2 linked regions of the Drosophila melanogaster genome follow. The protein of the gene in region 1 interacts with the protein of each later gene in a biochemical or structural test. Each region holds a gene or a part of one and is shown in the gene's direction. Other genes may lie near its edges.

Evidence for each region.
Region 2: of the proteins of SmB (region 1) and Art1, one has a biochemical effect on the other in vitro, tested with the Drosophila melanogaster proteins (one study listed by BioGRID).

The regions. Positions count from the first base shown.
Region 1 is NT_033779.5:10,423,227-10,431,113, reverse strand, and holds SmB (small ribonucleoprotein particle protein SmB), read left to right. Parts: upstream 1-4,486; 5' UTR 4,487-4,617; coding exon 4,618-4,620; intron 4,621-4,989; coding exon 4,990-5,586; 3' UTR 5,587-5,631; downstream 5,632-7,887. Other genes in the region: Bug22 (basal body up regulated gene 22), read left to right, coding at 400-675, 732-1,055; CG5188 (uncharacterized protein), read right to left, coding at 1,203-1,399, 1,455-2,128, 2,184-2,266; KdelR (KDEL receptor), read right to left, coding at 3,305-3,943; Wdfy2 (WD repeat and FYVE domain containing 2), read right to left, coding at 5,842-6,122, 6,184-6,380, 6,444-6,570, 6,631-6,743, 7,016-7,363, 7,434-7,594. UniProt on the Drosophila melanogaster protein: Plays a role in pre-mRNA splicing as a core component of the spliceosomal U1, U2, U4 and U5 small nuclear ribonucleoproteins (snRNPs), the building blocks of the spliceosome. Involved in germline establishment and development.
Region 2 is NT_033777.3:10,785,484-10,790,984, reverse strand, and holds Art1 (arginine methyltransferase 1), read left to right. Parts: upstream 1-2,758; 5' UTR 2,759-2,870; coding exon 2,871-2,873; intron 2,874-2,936; coding exon 2,937-3,212; intron 3,213-3,280; coding exon 3,281-3,510; intron 3,511-3,597; coding exon 3,598-4,219; 3' UTR 4,220-4,504; downstream 4,505-5,501. Other genes in the region: Mcm5 (minichromosome maintenance 5), read right to left, coding at 1-60, 124-945, 1,004-2,114, 2,169-2,320; Rbp1 (RNA-binding protein 1), read right to left, coding at 5,465-5,501.

The DNA.
Region 1 (7,887 bases):
CATAAATAAAAATTTTTAACAATAATAGATGTTTTTTGTCTAGCCAATTCCAAATTAACGCATGTTATTATTTATTTTTTAAGCTGTTTCTTTTTCACCGTTCCATAAGCGAGACAGGCCTTCAACTTCGCAATTTCGCACCCCACATAAACATGCGAGCATGTTCAAGCATTTGGAAACGTGGCAACCCTGCTCGCTTATTGTTATGGCAACAACAGGATGCCGTGCTAAACAAACTCATTGACATGAGAAAATAATCAAGTTCCGCATTGATGTTCGTAGTTTGTACGAGTTTCGGCTGTGCGAAAAATTTACGGCCAACCTTAACTGGCCCTATATAAATTTCGAAGAGACTATACTCTCCGTGGGGCGAACCGGTCACTGCACAGCAGTCGCGAAATGTTCAAAAACACTTTCCAATCGGGATTCCTATCAATTCTGTACAGTATTGGCTCAAAGCCACTGCAGCTGTGGGATAAGAAGGTGCGCAATGGACACATCAAGCGGATCACCGACAACGACATACAAAGCCTCGTGTTGGAAATAGTCGGCACCAATGTCAGCACCACGTTCATAACATGTCCGGCAGATCCGAAGAAGACGCTGGGCATCAAGCTGCCCTTCCTGGTGATGATCATCAAGAACATGAAGAAGTACTTCACCTTCGAGGTTCAGGTAAGCTTCGTCATCTTGCATAAGACAGTAACTCCATGATTTCCGCCCCTAATCAGGTTCTCGATGACAAGAACGTGCGGCGAAGGTTTAGGGCCAGTAACTACCAGTCGACAACTCGTGTCAAGCCTTTCATTTGCACCATGCCCATGCGATTGGACGAGGGATGGAACCAGATCCAGTTCAACCTGTCCGACTTCACGCGTCGCGCATACGGCACCAATTATGTGGAGACACTCCGTGTACAGATTCATGCAAATTGCCGCATCAGACGCGTCTACTTCTCCGATCGTCTCTACTCGGAGGACGAGCTGCCGCCGGAGTTTAAGCTCTTCCTTCCCATTCAGAAGCCGGTGCAGAAGTCCAATGCGATTTGTAGCTAAATTCTGTATGCATCATCAATCAATTAGAGCACCTAACCAGACGGAGTCGACGATTAAAACGGCACAAAATGCACAAGACTGCCATCCAGCACTCATTCAACACTTTATGGGAATCACGAATAAAAATTGCATCATGTACATAAAATTCTATTGATCTCTTGTAAGTATCTCCGTTCCCGTCTCGGTTATCAGAATGGTGTGCTCGAACTGGGCGCTACGTGCGCCATCCAAACTAATGGCCGTCCAGCCATCTTGCAGCACTGCTATTTCTGCTCCGCCCAGGGACAGAATGGGTTCAATGGTGAAGGTCATGCCGGGCTGCATCTTTCCAGGAATCTCATTATCTACGATGTGCAGTTTGATTAGCAATGGAGGAGTCTCTTAAACAGTCTTACTTACAATAGTGTAGTATCTCCGGGGGGCCGTGGAAATAGCTACCGATTCCATGTCCAATGAAAGCAGCTATCGATGCCAGATCATGTTCGTCGCAATATCTGTCTATGAACTTTCCAATCTCATTGAATTCCACACCGGGGCCGCACAGCGAAATGCACTGATCCAAACAGGATTTAGTGGCCTCCACGAGAAAGCCACCCCGTTCGTCCACGTTGCCCACCCGAAATGTTTCCGAACAGTCGCCATGGTAGCCGTTCAAAAAGACTGTGACATCAATATTTATAATATCCCCATCGGCCAACTGCCGGTCATCCGGAATTCCGTGACAGGCGATATTGTTGATCGACGTGCAAATGGACTTTGGGAAGCCGGCGTATCTCAGCGGCGACGGATACGCTTTGGACTCGAGAATTCTTTCATGCGCAAAGGCATCAATCTGATCGGTGGTTGTGCCAACTGTTGCTAGTTTACCGCATTCGCGCAGTATCCTGGCCGCCAGTCTGCCGCTTAGACGCATGGCATCAATCTGAACCTGGCTTTTGATTTCGGGCGATCCCAGCGTGTTACCCGGTGGCATATTCTTGAAGTAGTACGCCGGTTTCTTGATCTCCTCGGGCACAAAACGTTCCGGGGAAACTTGGCCGGTGGACACGATCTGTTCATATTTGCCAGTATCTCTGTAAGTATACCCATCAGAATAGAGTCCTGAAAGAGATAAGCCGGAGCCCATACCCCTTAACTTTGCCGAACTGAAACAAGTTTCTGGCAGTCGTTTTCTGGCGCATTAAACTATTTAAAAGACCAATTCTTCTCATTTTGTTTTGATTATGACATTTTTGCAGTGTGGCAGTGCTGTAAATATTTTTACAGATAACAGCCGAGTGTTAGGGGTATTCCCCCTTTTTTGATAACGGCACAGTGCTTCAAGTTTTTGGAAACTAAACAATTTATAGAGATGTAATATATATTTATACATCCTTACTAACTCTTTGCATTGTAATCTAATAAATAAAAGAAAATCGAGTTGTTTATTGTACTTTGTTTATAATATAATATCTGCAAAAGTGTTTAAAATATTATTTATGCCACATTAGGTTCGTATTTGTTTCGTACATGATCTCCATATAAATTAAATTTTCCATTTGCATCTGGCATGACTGCGAAGCGTGCAAGGGGAAACGAGGGTGTTGCAGAAATTTAATATATCTTTTCGGAATTCAATAGAAGTTGTGCAAAACAGCACATGGAGTTCCTACGATCCTGCGGCCTATTTTTCAGAATATTATGTGTATTATATGTTGACATCGCTCATCATTTACTTTACTATTAGCCACACAATAAGACTTAACTTTACTCGGATTTTTAGGATACAGTCGACTTAAGAGCTATTTAATGCATAACTTTAAATTCTTAATTAAACAAAGAAATCTATGACCTCTTCTGTGATACTATTGCGAATCAGATAAGCCTCCGCGCAAAAGAGAAAACATTTGTTTCGATTTTGTCAATTAACGTTATCTCTTACTGGAGTAATGATTTTTTTTTTTAATATTTTTGGATTCTAAAATTTGTGAGTGCAGTTCGGAAAACGGAGATTAATACATTTGTTACATTTTCAATGTACGATGTCGGTATTGCATAGTTTATAGTGTACTTTCGATTTTCGGTTTATTTCTCATTAAATAATTACAACTTAGGCGCTCCCCTCGATTATGTATCTTTTGTATAATATGAACGAAATACGCGTTGTCAAACGGGCCGTGGATCGCTCGCTTGTTTACTCTGACGTCGATTGATGATGTGTGCCGACAAAACACAAATGTCCCACATCTATGCACTTATCCATCATCCGCTTATGCCGGCAGCTGGAGCTTCTTGCCCTTAAGAACTTTGGTAATGTATAAGTAGAAGAAGTCGCAGTACAAGACGGTCTGGACAACTCCGGCGAAGATCGCGATAAGGTCGTAGTGCGACTCGACCATGTACCGGTAGACCCAGTTGAGCAAGTAGAGTGCACGGTACGATCCCAGGGCGAAGAGGTAGTGGCTGGTGATGGACTCGGCCTCGCCGGTTCTGCTCACTAGGAACAGCTGCGGCAGAATGGCCACCGATTCCAAATAGATCGAGAATGTCCACAGCACTTCCATCACGGTAAACTCATGATTGATCACCAGCGAGAGCAGGGCGCACGGCACCAGCAGGAATTCGATGCGGAACGAATCGTGATTGTGGTCATAGGTGGCCTTAAACTTCACGTACATCAAATACACGGTGGCACCGGACGTGGCCAGGAACAACACCTTCATCACCGAGTTGTACAGGCTCACGTAGGTGGTGAACAGATCCAGGTAGCGCGTCAGATAGACCACGGCGAACAGGATCTGCGACTTGCCCGATATTCCGGCGCACGAGCGGGTCTTCCATATCTTCAGCAGCAGTATTATGATGGCAAACACATGCGACAGATCCCCAGCAAAGCGAAAGATATTCATCGTGATCTAATCCGCCGACTTGGCTACTTGGCTGCCCGGTTGGCTGTTTGATTGTTCTACTTCCTTTCGCTGCGGCTGCGTCACGGAACGCACGCCTATATGAAAATGGGAGTGTATACTATAGCAATAATGGCGGCATTCAGTGTTTCAACAGCTGCATACGTTACCAAAATGACTTTTCGCCTAATTTGCCAACGAGTAGAGATGTGAGGGCTTTGCCGCTTCGGAAAAAAACTTGTCAGAATGTCGGCATAAACAATGACGTGGCTGATGAATAAGAATAAGTTTGATAACATGGCCACTGCCTATCGATATCGATAAGTGCCGCCACATGATTTTTTTAATGAAAATTCGACCATCTCTAACGAAAAAAATTGAGAAAAAACATACTGATTCAAATTTTTTCTTTTTTCGTTTTTTATCATAAGATTTAAAAAAAATTTAATTTTTTTCTCTTCTTTTGCTAGGGATAGTCGAATGTTTGTTTAAAAAATCATGTGGATTATCAATAAAAAATTTATATTCGATAGGCTCGATTGAAAGACACCAGAAAATGCTGACCGCCGCACACGCCACTCGATTTATTCTTCATGCCTATCGAAAAAAGCCGTGGTGAGGTTCCGGCATCTGTATTTTATTTACAAGCGATAGAATTAACATAGAAATCAAATAAAATGGTAAGTAAAAACACTGTTTTAAGCATCTGACTGCAATGGTTAAGTTTTGTTTAGTTGTATTAATTCATAGATTCTTACTTTCGCGGTTGCGATTTCGTATTTACATAGGCATACATACATACAAACATGCATGCGAATAAATAAAACAATTTGTTTTGGCTAATTAACTATTTTATATTTGTTTAAAATTATGATTTTTAGTGATCTTCGATATTACGCTGAGATTTGCTATTTCAAACTCTGTGGTTTATTAAAATTTTTATAAATACCGGCTTTTTTAAAGGGTCGAAATGGTTTACAAAAGATGGCGCGACTTTTATGCATGCTATTGTATTTCACAATTAAATCCTTTGAATTCCTTTATTTCAGACGATCGGCAAGAACAACAAAATGATTCAGCACCTGAATTATCGGGTGCGAATCGTGCTGCAGGACTCGCGTACCTTCATCGGTACCTTCAAAGCCTTCGACAAACACATGAACTTGATCCTCGGCGACTGCGAGGAGTTCCGGAAGATTCGCTCGAAGAATTCCAAGGTGCCCGAGCGCGAGGAGAAGCGCGTGCTGGGCTTTGTATTGCTGCGCGGCGAGAACATAGTTTCACTGACGGTGGAGGGACCACCGCCGCCAGAGGAGGGCCTGCCCCGAGTTCCCATTCCGGGAGCAGCTCCTGGTCCGGGAATCGGTCGCGTGGCCGGACGCGGAATGCCTATCAACTTGTCCGCCGTGCCAGCGGGTCTCCAGGGTCCCGTGAGAGGTGTGGGCGGACCCGCCCAACAGCACATGGCTCCGATGGGACGAGGAGTGCCACGAGCACCGATGATGGGTGCACCGCCACCGGGCATGATTCCCGGCGGCATGCCCTCGATGCCAGGAAACATGGGACGCGGTGCTCCGCCACCGATGCGCGGACCGCCGCCCAGCATGATCCGTGGAGCACCACCACCGGGCAGGGGTGGCTATTAAGTATAAAGTACAATCTAATAAAAACTCATTTAGAAAACACCACTTAATCGATGGATTCGTGTATTTATGTGTTGAATGTAAGCATACGTACATACAATGATTATTGCTTTACATCAATTATATGAGAACCTAAGCAGCAGGGACTGGATTTGGTCGTTGCCAGCCACATCGTTCGTTAATTGGGTGTTCCAGTTAAGACCGAAACGCCTCGTGAATGATTATACCTTTGGTACGTGCGTGTGCGTACAGGATGTTTTATGCCCAGATGTTGGAGAGATCCCAGATCTTGATGAGCCTGTCCTGGCCCACTGTCAACAGGCGCTTTCTGTCCTCGTCCAGGTCCATGTAGACGATCGAATGCTTGGCGTCATTGAATGAAGCCAGCGAGGGGCGCTCGACTGTCTGAAGTTGTTTGTAGCACGGATCACAGGTACGCACATCAAACTCGAAGCCCATTATGGGTATGTTAATGCGATTGGTGGAACAGTTGTCGCACACGGCTTTGCCGCAGTGGCGACAATGATGCTGTCGTATTCCTGACAGTCAGAAATTACTTGTAAAACAAAGAGTAACTCAAGTGTAAGCTATTTATCTCACCCAGCTGCTTTTGATCCATCATTGAGCGGAAGTTCCAGAAGAAGGGCCTGGAGCAAAGCTGACAGTTGTTGGTATCCACCCAGCCAGGAACCTCTTTCCGCATTGCATTCATTTCCCAAAAAACCACTACTGAATCTTCGCCACAGCTTATCAGTTGTTGCGTGTGATTCGCGTACGACAGGGCGGAAACTTTGTTGCTACATAATCAGAAGTGCCGATTACTATCTTATTTTATGAATATTATTTAAGATTGGAGATACCTATGTCCCTGCAGCTCGTAAATGGTGCCACGTTTGCCACCAACATCCCAAACTAGCACGGACTGATCGCAAGCTCCGCTAAACAAGAGCTGAGGGCCTTCCACCCATTTGAGGCACCGGATTTCCGCTAAAAATTAACCAATTCGTATATAATTAGCTTACTAAATATCATTTGTAACTTGTTTACCCGAATGTCCATTGAAAGTGGTAATTAGTTGCACTCCCTGAACATCGCACCTTAGCATTGTTATCTGTCCAGCATGATCGCCCACAAAGGCATACTTGGCCAAAGCGTCGAACCTAAACGCAGATTATAATTAATTATATGTTGCTTATAGAATATTTCGCACAGTGCACACATTTATGCCAAAATTTTGTGTAGATAAAATGACTCAGTTGACACGTCATTAACAATAGAAGGTTCTCAAATTCTAAATGAATTCCATAGCCGTGAAGAATTGCAGTTTATTGCCGTGTCAAAGAAAGCAGTTTAATCCAATTAAATGACCCGCTTATCCCATATCCACTGTCGCACCCCCTTCCCCCTTTCACCATCCATTTATCATACTTACTGGAGAGCCGTGCATGGTGTCTCAAAGTTGTATCCGCCCACCCGTTTGCCGCTCTCCGTGCAATGATAGGCGAACTGCTTATCTTTGCCGGCGGAGAGTATCCACTTGTGGGTTTTCGAGAAGACCACGGCCATGACCCGCGCTTGATGGGACAAGTAATCCCGCAGGAAGGACAGGCGATTGCAGTCTTCGGATAGCGCGTACTGGGTGACCGTTCCGTTTTCCTGGCCGACGTACAGGTGCCGGGATTCCGAAACGTACTCGATGGCCGTGCAGCCGGAAGGCATATACTGGCAAATGCTAGGCCAATATTGACCAGAATCGCGTTTTAGCCAAACGCGAACGGTTCTATTGGGGAAAACATGAAAATGTCAGGCATACCATTTGTGTATATTTTTAATGGGCTACAGCTACGCACTTGTCATCGGAAACGCTAATTACGCCGTTTTCGCCCGGAATTAGGATCGCTGCGTTCACATCGTCGCTGCTGCCCTCCAGCTTACTCAGCAATTCCGGCTTTTTGGAGGTGTTAAAGCGATCATTGTTGGTCCGCTGAGCTGGTTTTATCTCGGCAGCCATATTATTTAAGGTGGATCCAGTCCGATGGTACGCCTACGCCCTATTTAACGCACTCGATGATAATGCGGTTATAAACAATCCGATTCTCGGACTGGGGAAGGTGAATGGAGATACGTGATTCACAATCAATTAACAAAACTGTGTTATTTTGTTTAACATTAAATATACTGAACTTTGTTGTTGGAAAGCTCGTCTAGATAGCGACGCCAAGTTTAGGAATGCTGCGGAATAGTGGAATCGATGAAATGAAAATAGAATCTTAATTGTTAGATATAGTTTTTGCGTATTATTGT
Region 2 (5,501 bases), on another chromosome or scaffold:
GATCATGGTATGAATTACCTTCATTACCGTGCGTTCTTCGTATTTCTGACGCAAAAAGTCCTATGAAAAGCAAGCATTATAAATAAAAATTGTTCATTCGATTCATAAGACTTCTGTGCTTACCTGTAAGATATTCTGCTCCGATACTTGAGATCCAATTGCAAAGCGACGTTTCAATTGCTTTTCGATGCGGTTGAGTGTTTCCTGGTCCTCCTCGGTCGTGAATCCTTCGGCTCCAGCCAAGCTGCCAGTCATCGCAGCATCAAGGGTAGACACTTGGAAAAGTCGAAGTGCTTCGTTCACGTGCTCATCTGTGGCGAACGGTTGCAAACGAATCTTTGCCAGCGACTCCGAAATGCGGATGACAGCCTCCAACTGACGCACAGTGATGGGAATGCTTAGCCGCTTGTCAGATGCCTTCTCCTGCTGGCCGGCTCCACTGCGCATAAGCACGTAGCGGCTCTTTAGCTTCTCGCCGGCAGCTTCGCTCAGGCGCGGACCGCAATGAGTTCGGCAGTAGTGAATATACTTCTTGAACGTCGACAGCGATATCTCACCCTCAGCCGGCTCTGAAGGCGCTGACTTGTTAGAGCTCAGATGCACGTTGATGATGTGCTTGGCCAGCGTAATGTCCCGCGACTCATCGTGAATATCCTTTACAATGAAAATCATGTCGAAACGGGAGAGAATTGTGGGCATAAAGTCAATGTTCTCCTCGCCCTTGGTGTCGTCCCATCGACCGAAAATGGAGTTGGCAGCTGCCAAGACCGAACAGCGTGAGTTCAAGGTGGTCGTGATGCCGGCTTTGGCAATGGATATTGTCTGCTGTTCCATGGCCTCGTGAATGGCCACACGATCATCCTCTCGCATTTTGTCGAACTCATCAATACAAACCACGCCTCCATCGGCCAGCACCATGGCTCCACCCTCCATGACAAAGTTACGCTAAAGATTAATGTATCATTTAATTTGTAAGGATTAGGTGTGCAATGTTTTTTCTCACCGTTTGAGGATCCTTCATAACCGAAGCCGTGAGACCAGCCGCACTGGAGCCTTTGCCCGAAGTGTAGACTGCTATGGGTGCCACCTTCTCCACAAACTTTAACAACTGTGACTTGGCAGTACCAGGATCTCCCAGCAGTAAGACGTTAATGTCGCCTCGACGGCACAGACCATCCGGTAAACGCTTACGAGACCCGCCAAAAAGCATACAAGTTATAGCTTTCTTGATATCCCGAGAGCCGAAGATGCTGGGCGCCAGTGACTGTGAGAGACGTTCGTAGATGTCCCCAGAGGCGGCCATTCGCCGGAAGTGCTCCTCCTCATCGGATGTGATGTTGCTGTATCGGGAGATGGCACCCGCACCCTCTGAGTCGACGGTGATGCCCACCACCCTCATGTAAGGAGCACGGACTCCAACGACGGCTTTCTCGCGACCATCCCGACGCGAGGGTTTGCCCACCTTGCGAATGGAGTATATGCCCTGGATAAGCACGCGATTGCCGGGCACCACGCGTTCACAGAGCGAGCGATCGCAGAAGAGCTGCAAGTGGCGGGGAATCTCACCCTGTGGCACAAAGTCGGGGAGCTCTTGCAACTTAAGGGTCTGGAAATCGACGCACTTGCACTTGTCCGGCATGATGAAGAAGGGGTCCAGCGGGCACTTGGGTCTGCCCGCCTGCTCCGTGTTGCACTTCCTGGGTAGGGCGTAGCCCTCCAAACCTGGATTCACTTTGAGATTCGGTATGACCGTGCTGCAGGACAGGCATTGGATAGACATCCGCGTAGCCTTGGCACTTATTCCTGAGGCTGCGACAATGATTCCGGCGATCTTAACCAGCTTGGATACGCAGTCCGACTTCAACTGTCGTATGTTGGTGGGATTCGCATTGGAGCTCAGAAGAATCTGGATGTCGTGCATATGTTCCTCGTGCTCCGGCCGGGGAGCTGTGATCTCGTCGGCTACCTCCCGGGCAGCCTCCTCGAAGATTTCCAAATGCTCCGTCGGCTGCTTGTTCAGCTTGTCAGCCAAGGTCTCATCGAAGCCCACCAAATCCTCCATCTCAATCTCCAAGAAGTAGCGACCATTAAGATAGTTCCTCTTCAGGGTGTCACTGCAGGGGGATTACCTTAAATGGGGTTCAGATGAGGAGATGCAGTTCACTTACCGGTATTTGTAGAAAAAGTTCTCCTCGTTAAATGTCCGGATGAACTCCTTGTACTTCTTCTTTACCGCCTGCAAGTTGATTTGCGCATCCTGCTGGTTATCTCCGCCGAAATTGTCCGAAAAGAACACACCCGCATCGTCGAAGCCTTCCATTTTGATAGGGTAAACAAAGTTAAAAAGAAGAACTGAGGTAATAGACGCTACTTCTGCTTCGCTTTATATTTCGTTTTTTAGTAAATGCGATGTGCGAATATTTTGCCGCCAAAATTACCGGGCAAGCGGTAGCTAGAGATGAGCACTTACCAGTAAAACTATCGGATCTTATTTACAACTATCGATGAAACGTGTTTCCCAGTTTATGTATTTTTGTTAGCAGTGAAATAGGACCAATACAACAAGCATTGCAGCAGTTAATAAACCATGAACGTATTTATTATATCTTATTGATGTTATGACAAAGATTATTTTACTCGATTATATGGAACATGCCTTAGACAACTGACTCCAATTCTTCCCAGCTCAAAAATACTAAAATTTCAGAAAAATCCAATAATATCGAGCTGGCGATATTTGTTTCCAGCTTTTGTGCGGGGGCAGTGTTGATAAGCGACCTTTTAAACTAGCGTGCTGTAGAAACAGTCCCATCATTTAGTCGCCAATTTTTCGACGTGAAAAACCAAAGAGACGCCGAAGAAATTAGAAAATGGTAAGTTTTGGTCAAAATGTGACGGCAATCGACAGGCCAGTAGCTGACGAACCCGATTCGCAGGCCAGCACAGACATTCCCATGGAGGCAGCTGTGGAATCGGCGACCGGCATCACGCCCAATTCAAATGCGAACTCAAACAATGTGGCGAAGAAGCTGCCCGCGGAGGGCTCCACCGGTGATAATCCCAATGCCAACGCCGACGAGATGACGTCCCGCGACTATTACTTTGACTCCTATGCCCATTTCGGGATCCACGAGGAGATGCTCAAGGACGAAGTGCGCACCGTCACATACCGCAACGCCATGTACCACAACAAGCATCTGTTTCAGGGCAAGGTAGGGTTAACTTCCGGGGTTTCCCCATTTTTCGTAGCCCTTCTCACCGGGGTATCTCCTCTTTGCAGACCGTACTGGACGTGGGTTGCGGTACCGGCATTCTCTCCATGTTCGCTGCCAAAGCCGGTGCTGCTCAGGTGATTGCCGTCGACTGCTCCAACATCATTGAGTTTGCCCGCCAAGTGGTCATTGACAACAATCTGCAGGATGTAATCACGGTTGTCAAGGGCAAGATTGAGGAGATTGAGCTTCCAAATGGTATTGAGGGAGTGGACATTATTATTTCCGAGTGGATGGGGTAGGTTTTCATTTGTAGTTAAGCTTTTAAAAAGTGGTCATATTTGATTTAGCATATTAACCATTTTAATTTCTTTCCTTAATTTAGTTACTGCCTGTTCTACGAATCCATGCTGGATACAGTGTTGTACGCTCGGGACAAGTGGCTGAAGAAGGACGGCATGATGTTCCCAGATAGGGGCACGCTGTATATCACGGCCATCGAGGACAGACAGTACAAGGACGAGAAGATCAACTGGTGGGACGATGTCTACGGCTTCGACATGAGCTGCATTCGTAAGGTGGCCGTGACCGAGCCACTGGTCGACGTGGTCGATCCCAAGCAAGTGGTATCCACATCTTGCATGGTCAAGGAGGTGGATCTGTATACCGTGCAAAAGGCCGATCTTAACTTCTCGTCCAAGTTCAGCCTATGCATCAAGCGCAACGACTTCGTGCAGGCATTAGTCACCTACTTTAATATAGAGTTCACCAAGTGCCACAAGCGTCTTGGGTTCAGTACGTCACCAGACTCCACATACACGCATTGGAAGCAAACCGTGTTCTACCTCGATGACCACATGACGGCAAAGAAGAACGAGGAGATCACTGGCACGTTCCAGATGAAGCCCAACGAGCGGAACAACCGTGACCTGGACTTCGTCATCGACATTAATTTCAAGGGCGAATTGTCTCAAATTCAGGAGTCGAACACATACCGCATGCGCTAGGGGCAGCCATAACCAATCCGATCTGCCATTTGGGATGGGGCTCAGAGCCCTGCAGCGAGGATACATACAATGACTAGACGTAAGGTTTATTCCAGTGCGAAATGTGCAACGAATTCGTGTTGCGTCTTCTCCTAAGTTTAAAGTGTACCTTTGTTAGTATACATAATATTTTACACTCGTGCGCCTGTTTAAATTATTATTCGAACATACTTCTAAGCAAGTTGTACAGCAGCACGTCAATTCTCACATAATAAACAGTGCACTAAGCACGTCCCCTTTTGCTGGAAACAAACTGTTTTTGATGATATATGAAACCAATCAAAACTCGCTGATTGTGCGTCTTTATTTTTTAGTAAAAAAAAAAAAGGAATTTCAAGAATGCATCGAAAGATTTATATTGTCATCTGAAGTAAATTTACTTGGATCGCAATCGACATAGGAATTCCTACAGAAAATACGGCCTTGGCCGGCTTGTTCTTTGATGCGACACTGCTTAAACGATATCCTTTTGGAAACATTAATGACGATCCCGAGAATCCGAGCGACTTCGACGATCGCGCGAGAAGCTGCGGCTGCGGGGCGATCGGGAGCGACGTGGCGAACGTGACCTGAAATAAACGCATTGGTAAAGAAGAAATGATTACTTAAAAGCTTAATAAAATTATTTAAATCAGCTTAGAATGGTAAGAAGTGTATGTACATACGCGCCTTACAAAGAGCTGCAAAATAGGAGTGTTAAATACTGCTAAATAGTTACTTAAACTAATTACCAGGGGGAACAAAAATGAAAGCTGTGCAAACTGTTTTGTTTCTATGAATTAAGCTGTGAACCAATTAAGATAAGAGTATTATTGCTAATGCTGCTATTACATTTAGCTGCTGCAATTACATTTACTATCTATTACCAACTGATATCCTATAATTAGAGTTTAAAGCTTTCTACTTTGTCGGATACATATGCAATAAGAAAATGGTCGAACAAATCTATAGTAGCTGTGATCATCAGCGTTAAACGCGTTCAAGGCCAGTTTTCTCGACATCAGAGTCAAGTACTTGAGAAAGCGGACGAACCCTCATATCATAGGCAACTAAATTAAAGAAATAATTGTAAGCAATTATTTGAAGGATACGCAGGATAACTTTAAAAAAGAACTCTTTGGGCGACTGCATTGCTTCTTCTAGGATGAAATCATTTGGGTTGCTAATCAAAACTTCTGTGAGGCTGTGACGCTGAACATGGTTAATTTAGAGTTGCAAGTTGAAGGTTGCTGGCTGTGGCTGT